2 linked regions of the Oryzias latipes genome follow. The protein of the gene in region 2 interacts with the protein of the main gene of each other region in a pairwise test. Links are inferred from orthologs where the notes say so. Each region holds a gene or a part of one and is shown on either strand. Other genes may lie near its edges.

What was found. The genes of interacting proteins can lie anywhere in the genome.
Region 1: the proteins of srrm4 (region 2) and zrsr2 interact in binary tests that used the Homo sapiens proteins (3 or more experiments, as listed by UniProt). The link is inferred for Oryzias latipes from reciprocal best matches to the Homo sapiens genes SRRM4 and ZRSR2.

The regions. Positions count from the first base shown.
Region 1 is NC_019861.2:13,881,234-13,885,499, reverse strand, and holds the start of zrsr2 (U2 small nuclear ribonucleoprotein auxiliary factor 35 kDa subunit-related protein 2), read right to left. Parts: upstream 2,870-4,266; 5' UTR 2,626-2,869; coding exon 2,582-2,625; intron 2,376-2,581; coding exon 2,296-2,375; intron 2,188-2,295; coding exon 2,109-2,187; intron 2,028-2,108; coding exon 1,919-2,027; intron 1,591-1,918; coding exon 1,504-1,590; intron 1,082-1,503; coding exon 1,043-1,081; intron 862-1,042; coding exon 731-861; intron 608-730; coding exon 394-607; intron 185-393; coding exon 129-184; intron 40-128; coding exon 1-39. Other genes in the region: tm6sf1 (transmembrane 6 superfamily member 1), read right to left, coding at 3,827-4,018. UniProt on the Homo sapiens protein: Pre-mRNA-binding protein required for splicing of both U2- and U12-type introns. Selectively interacts with the 3'-splice site of U2- and U12-type pre-mRNAs and promotes different steps in U2 and U12 intron splicing.
Region 2 is NC_019867.2:3,762,416-3,765,668, forward strand, and holds part of srrm4 (serine/arginine repetitive matrix protein 4), read left to right. Parts: intron 1-2,561; coding exon 2,562-2,750; intron 2,751-2,828; coding exon 2,829-2,927; intron 2,928-3,253. UniProt on the Homo sapiens protein: Splicing factor specifically required for neural cell differentiation.

The DNA of each region.
Region 1 (4,266 bases), on a different chromosome or scaffold from region 2:
CCATTAAACTTCATTAACGCCTCCTTGCACTGATCATCTCTGATTAGAAAAACAAGAGGACACACAAATAAAGACTTATCCACCTAAGTATCTAAAGTCTAATGATAATGGATTTGTTGTAAACTTACGTCTCAAACTGAATATAAACATTGCCTTTCAGGTGTGGTTCGTAATTGCAGCAGACCTGATAAGAACAGAAAAAAAGTGTCAAACCGACTAAAAGTGTATTTTCTTCAGCAAAAACTAATTTTAGGACAAAATAGAAGGATGTCGCTAAAGTATCACGACTGAGAAGGAAGTTCTGCTTCAAAATAATACACTGGAGCCAAAATATTTCCAAAAAAAATAAAAAAGGGTTTAAAAAAAAAGCACAGCCATACACGGCTATCTTACCTTGAACTGCACCACCTTGCCAACACTCTTAAACTCAGGGAGAACGTCATGGTAAAACTCAAGGAAAGACTCGTGCAGGTCCTCCTCACTGTGCTCTAAACAAGCGTCCATGTCATAATCGTCGCGCCGCAATTGCTCCATCCCAAAGGTCATAAACATGCCACGGATCATGAGAGTCGGGCTGGATGTGGGGTAGACATGCTTCCGAGAACATCTGCACACGTAAAAAAAAAAAAAAAAAAAGTGGGATAAATATGATCAAATTTATAGGGAAAAATTGCCTCGAAGTAAGATGTACATTTAAAAATGATATTAGCAATGGAAAAAAGAAAAGCACCTTTCTCCAAATCGACAAGCTCCGGTCTTCAGAAAGAAAGGACAGTTGGCAACATCACGCTCTGTTCCATAATTCTCAAAGTTCATGTTCACAGGAGCCTCAGGGTTCATCCATGGTCCTTTATGTTCAAGCTGCAATGCAACAAAACCATGAAAACATGACAGAGTCTGGCATCCTAAAACATGATTGTAGCACATAGCACATGATGATGTAAACACTTACGCAGACTTCATAAACAAAGTGTTTTAAATCCATAACTGTCAAATTTATTTTTTATTTAATATCCCAAGTGTTTGTTTTGTTTTTTTTTACCTGATTTTCTGCTTCATCCAGCATTTTCTGAACAGCTTCCTACAAATGGTGTAAAGACATGGCTGGTGAAAATGTGAAGACGTCAACATACTGCCGCATGTCTGTCATTCTGGGTTAAGACCCTTCACATGGACTGACAGGCACCAAAATATTTGGGGTTTAACATTTATTCGTATCAGACTTCTGTTCCATTTCCACTGTTTTCACACAAAGTAAAAGATACGTTCTTGTTGTGGGGGGTGAAGGTGTTCTCTTTGAGTGTGTCTTAGTCAAGGAGCAAGAAAAATGCTTGTGCCACTTAGTCAAGGAACAGAAAAATACAAATAACACAATAATTTGCAAAAAGTTCAACATATCTTATAGTGCAGATTATTTAAAGTTCTGCATGATCACTATAAACACTCTGTAGATAAAAGAGGATATATTTCTTTATGTTTCTATCCTCCCGGAGTCCGTTTCACCTCTCTGTCCCGCCTCTCCTGAAGCTTCTGCTCCTTCTCCTCTTGTTCTCTCTTCTGCTGGGCCTCCCATTCCTCCTTTATCATCCGCTGTACACGAACACGAGGACACACGGGTTCATTTGGAATGACACTTTCAAACAAAGGGATTTGTTAAGCATCCATAGAAGTGCGTGTGAGAAAAGTGCATCACCCTAACAACCTGAAGAAATGTTTTCAATGGATTTGTAATTTTTAAACATCCTATTTTAAAAATCAATAAACCACAAATCTGGTCTCCTAATCTATGTGTGGGCAAATGAATGTAAAACATTTTGTTGGAACTAAATGGTCACTTAGTTCAAAGCCAGCGAGCTCTATCAGTGCATTATTACTATTATGGTACCTAAAACATCAGTAAGAATAGAAAATAAATGACCTCTTCTTCTTCCTTTTTTTTGCGTGCAGTTTCTTCCCTCTCCACCCTTAACCTAAACTCCTCCTGGGCCAGCCTCTCTCTTTCCAGCCATTCCTTATGCAACTGTAGTCTATAAAACAGAGCACATTAACAATCAAGTGATGAAGATGTTCTCGGTCACAGATGGTGTAACTGTAGGTCAGCTACAAACCTTTCTTCCTCAGTTAAGCCAGTATCCTCCCCATTTTCCTCATCAACTGTACACTCTTCTTCAGCTTCACCCTGGACATCTGTAATAAAACAAATCATTATGTGTAAGGGTGGGGGGCAATACAGGTAAAATCCCCCCACGTGACTTCCTGAACAAACCCAAAAGCACTGAACAGCTATCCCCTTACCGGACTCTCTGGCTTGGGCAACAGCTTGACGTTTCCTCCGTCTCCTCTCTTTGCGCTGAGCAGCCTTGCGTTGCTTCTGACTGTAGCGAAGAATACAAAAGCCTTTCAGAAACGCATTGCAGTACATTTTCAATACAACACGAAAGATGACGACAAGTCTGAATGAATGAATAACTTATCCTCTTAGCCAACAACTTTAGTTGTGTTGATTACAATCAACGAGTGAAAATACTACTATATACTAATAAAATGATGTATATTCGTAAAATCGCCAGATGTTACTAACCTTAAAATTGGAGCAGAAATTGGACCAGGAATGGAGGCTGCCATCTCAACGAGCGATAGCTAGTATGCTAACTATTGAGCTCATTTGAAGTTTACACACCGGTCAATTTTATTATATTTTTTGGCTAAACTCTTTTATCCAGTATGTCTTTGTTTATTTTGCAGAGTGAGACAGATACGGGTTTCAGAAGAAATCAGTAGTTTGTTTAAAATAGAACGGAAAAAAAAGAGTTAGCTAAATAAAGAGCTTCTATGCTGAAAACAGGAAGTCGAAGGGAAGTACTTCCGTTTTTGAAGTGTCTTCTTCTTCTTTGGTTCCTAACAATGGTGTGAATGAATCACAGCAACACACTTTTTTTCAAAGACTTTCAAGTGATTCTTTAAATCATAATTTCAGTATTGTAATTACACACACATATTCCCAGTGGATAATTTAAATAAATAGACATGTCTCATTTTAATTGACAAAATTAACACATAAAGAGAATAGAAGTCTGAGGGGAATGAAAAATATGGTTGAATAAAGAGTAGACTATTATTAACGTGTCTTATTTACAAGAAAACTTTATTTTTATATTAACTTTGGGGATGCAGTGGCTCAGGTGGTTAAGCAGGTGAGCCAAAGTTTGAAGGGTTGGCAGTTTGATCCCCGCTCACCCCAGCCAAGTGTCGCTGTGTCTTTGGGCAAGACACCTCCTCTCTGCCTCCAGCGTGGCCCCACTGGTGTGTGAATGCATGTACATTTCCTGGTGATGGCCAGAGGCGCGTACTGGCAGCCTCTTAGTTTTTAGTTAGCTTTTAGCTGATCTAATTTTGTCTTTTATTGTTTTAATTTGTTTTTATTGTCTTTTACTATGTTAAGTCTGTGATACGTGTCAGATGTTGTAGTTAATTGGGGGGGGGGGGGGGGTTGTGAAGCAATTTGTGATTCTTTTTTGTGAAAGTTGCTATAGAAATAAATATTTACTTACTTTACTCATGTATTCTTACCATCTTTCATTGGATATTAATAAGCAGATTGACACAGATACGATTTTATCTTTATGTATCAGAAAGACAAAGCAAAAAATTACAATTCAAACAAAAAAAAGCCTAAACAAATGTGTTTTAGCTTATTTACTTCCTAAAGACCCAATATGGGAAGCATAAAAACAATTTTATTTTTATTTTTTCCAGCCCCTCTTACACAGTTGAGCCAAACTTTTGTAAGGCATCTTTGATATTATTAGCCCCCCTGTTTTTCTATTTAATCTTCTTTCTTTTCTGCTGTCGGCCTGAGGAAGAACTCTGGCTGGGTGCAACACCGGTAGCAAAGAGCTTGAGGCACCAGAGTGTACAATAAATTGACCAGCAGGAAAACAAGCTGGCTGCTAACAGGCACTCTGTATGAGAACGGAGTCCGAGTGTGAAGAGATGCACCAATGTAAGAAAACTGGGCCTGAAAAAGAACAAAGAAAATCAGACAATAATCAACGAACACAATATTGTCTTGAACTGAAATCACTGTTAAGAAATGTCTTTAAACAAAATGTCATTATGATGTGTGGCGATTTCTTCTTAACAAAAAATATTTAAAAAATATTGTAAGAAAAGGGATGCAAGGGTTTTTGCATCAATTTAACGCAAACCCCTCAAAGTAAGCACAATCTCTGCCTGAGTTAGACTGTGATTAAAATAATCAATTAC
Region 2 (3,253 bases):
TAAGGTGGCTCGGGCATCTAGTCTGAATGCCCCCTGAACGCCTTCCTGGGGAGGTGTTCCGGGCATGTCCCACTGGACGGAGGCCGCGGGGAAGACCCAGGACACGTTGGAGAGACTACGTCTCTCGGCTGGCCTGAGAACACCTCCTGGTCCCCCCAGAGGAGCTGGAGGAAGTGCCCGGGGCAAGGGAAGTCTGGGCATCTTTGCTTAGACTGCTGCCCCTGCGACCCAGTCCCGGATAAGCGGAGGAAGATGGATGGATGGATGGATGGATGGATGGATGGATGGATGGATGGATGGATGGATGGATAGAGAATAGAATGGATCTTTATTTGTCACAGGTACAATGAAATTAAAAGTGCTTCCTGGTCCGTGCAACACTCATACCTTAAGCAGCCCATGATACAAACTTACTACTAAAAATAACAAAGTTAATATGTTGCTAAATAAAAGTGCATTTGTCATTAAAAAACAAACAGGATACCTAATTAAGACCATGAGAAAGACCCAGGACACACTGGAGAGACTCCGTCTTTCGGCTGGCCTGGAAACGCCTCCGGGTCCCCCCAGAGGAGCTGGAGGAAGTGGCTGGGGCGAGGGAAGTCTGGGCATCTTCGGTTAGACTGCTGCCCCAGAAGCTGGTCCCAATGAGCAGAAGAAAATGGATAGATATTAATTACTGAATTAATCGGCAGGGTGTTGACTTTGAATGTCAAGCTGGGTCAAATTAGGGGCTCAGCTGCTAATTCTCTTCTTTAAAGTGTTAGTTATTTGGCCTGTATGACCAACACATTTGTAAACAAGAACAAATTTTAATCACTGCAGATCATGCATAAATAACTGTTTGCTGAAAAAGCTTAAATGGAGTTTAACTGACCTGAATAATGTTGAATGATGTTATTATTAAAGTTACGACAAATGAATATTGAGCCAAAAAAAATTAAGGAAATAAGAGATTAGCTGAAGAACTTTGTACAATTCTAATGTAAAGATTTAAAAAATTCTGAAGAACTATATTCAGTGCAGATCCAACGGGCTGCAGTTCTCCAGTTGTCTTTTTGTCTGATGCCTGGATATAATTGAATATTGATAATTATACAGCTGAACTAAACAGGTCATATTCATATTAAATTAGCTAAAATAAAAAAAAAAAGGGGTAACAATACATTTGGGGATTCCAGCATAGATAAGTGAGAACTTATCCAGGAAGTCCCATCATCAAAGTAGCTCACAGAAACAGAAGCACAAATCACATAATTTGTTTACAATAAGTACAATAAACCACTCGGACTGTCCCGTTTCTGGTTCTTAGCTCTGACTGCTTCTCCTGCTCTCCGCCCCCTCTTCCCATCTCTGCCTGCAGCCATCTGCCTCCATCTCTTGGTCTCTGCTTCGCTCTCCCTCCTGATTCATTTGTCATGTCTATTTTTTGCTCTGTCGTTCCTACTTTTATGAGAGAAGTCTGCACAGCAAACCTTTGACTTTGTAATATTTAAATCCACCTGCCTTGTGTTGGACCGAGACGGTCTGGATCTCTGACTCTGGCCGGAATACAAAATTTAGGTGCTTGGATGGGAAAGAACCCCAAAAATGTCTTTACTGACAATTTATTTTTATCTACATGATCTAACACAATTCTATTACAGAGGCTTGATGCTGAAAAGGCTTTTCAAACTAAGGAATACCAAAATCACTAGGAAATGCCAACATTAAAGCTAAATTAGCTGAATGAGTTTTTGATTTTACACATTGGTCTATTTCAAATGCTAATTCAATTCTAAAATACTTAAATAGTAGTCATGTTTCACTTATATAGATGTTTTTAGGCTGTAATCCTCCTCCTGAAAAGTAGAAACAATAAACTCCTCAGTTTCATTTGATCGTATTTACTGTTTTATTATATTTATTTGGTACATTTATATGAATTTATATTTACATATTTATGAAAATTCTCCTGTGAATTCTCCTATTAAAAGGCTTTGGCCTATTGGCAAAAATGTATAAAAAATGTTAAAGGAATAGAGAAACACTGGCTATGTGTGTGTGTGAGTTCACTGGACCACATAAAACCACTTCACTAAAAAGCAACTTTGGCGACTTGATAATTGAGGTTGGAGGAGGGGTCATCACACAGTTCAGCAGGGTTTCTCTGACCGTCCCACCGGCAATGTTTTTGCTTTGTCCTTCCATATAAATTCTTCCAGTCTCCTCTGTCCCATGAAGTTTTCCAACCAGGTCATGGGGAGAGAAGTGTGGAAAGGGCGAATTTACAGACTTCAATTGTACTTTGTATAAAGTCACCTGAGGAGAACTGTCGCACAGTGTGATGCCGCCCTTGTTGAAGGTGACTGTGAGAGGATTTTGCCTTGTAGCGGCTAAAGTATGGCCTAACTAAAAAATAAATCAATCTCTGCAGATAAAGACAGACTATCTGATGGAATGTACCACTTTACGTCAAGAAATCACAGAAATTAAAATATGGATTTATGATGGAATGATGATTTCTGTTGCTATGTTTTTAAAGTCCTGTCACTCAAAGCAATTTCTGTGCGTGTGTGCAGGGAGCAGATAACCTTGGGGTGTCACGTAGAGGTTGTCGGATCATCTGAGTCAACCAGCTGTGAATCGAGGAGGAGGAGGAGGGGTTCGTCTCGGACAAAAGGTCGCTCTTCCAGCAGCAGGAGCAGATCCTCAGGGAGTTCCAAATACTTGGGACGCTATTCCAGAAGCTCCTCGTTGTCTTCTCGCAGGTAGATCTGACAAGATGTGTAGCAAATGAGCTCAAATCTACGTCTCCTGCAGCACCAATGTACTTTATGTCTTCACAGCTCGTACTCACGATCCCCCAGTCACTCAGATGTCAGGCGAAGAGGCAGCATGAGCAGCCTGAGCTCCAGAGGAAGCTACTCCAGACACAGTGATGACAGGTGAACTTCAGCTACTAATTCCTTTCTGTCCGTCTCTCCCCTCCTGGGTACGGGTTTCCTGGTGGTGGATATGTGTTGGTGGATGGAGTGGTACCAATTGGTTAGAGTTTGATGTGTTTGGTTGTCTGTAGCCCCCACTGAGACCCACGTGAGCAACTTTGGTCCGCCAAACACCCAAACACCGGTTGGGCCCTGGCCTGAGCTCCTCTTGAGTACTTGGAGGTGGGGCCTCTAGTCTGCTGGGTGCTAGTGGGAGGAGCTAGTTGCCATTGTACGGCAACAGTGGTTTAGTCTTGTTGACAAGAAAGTAATGTAAAAAAAATATA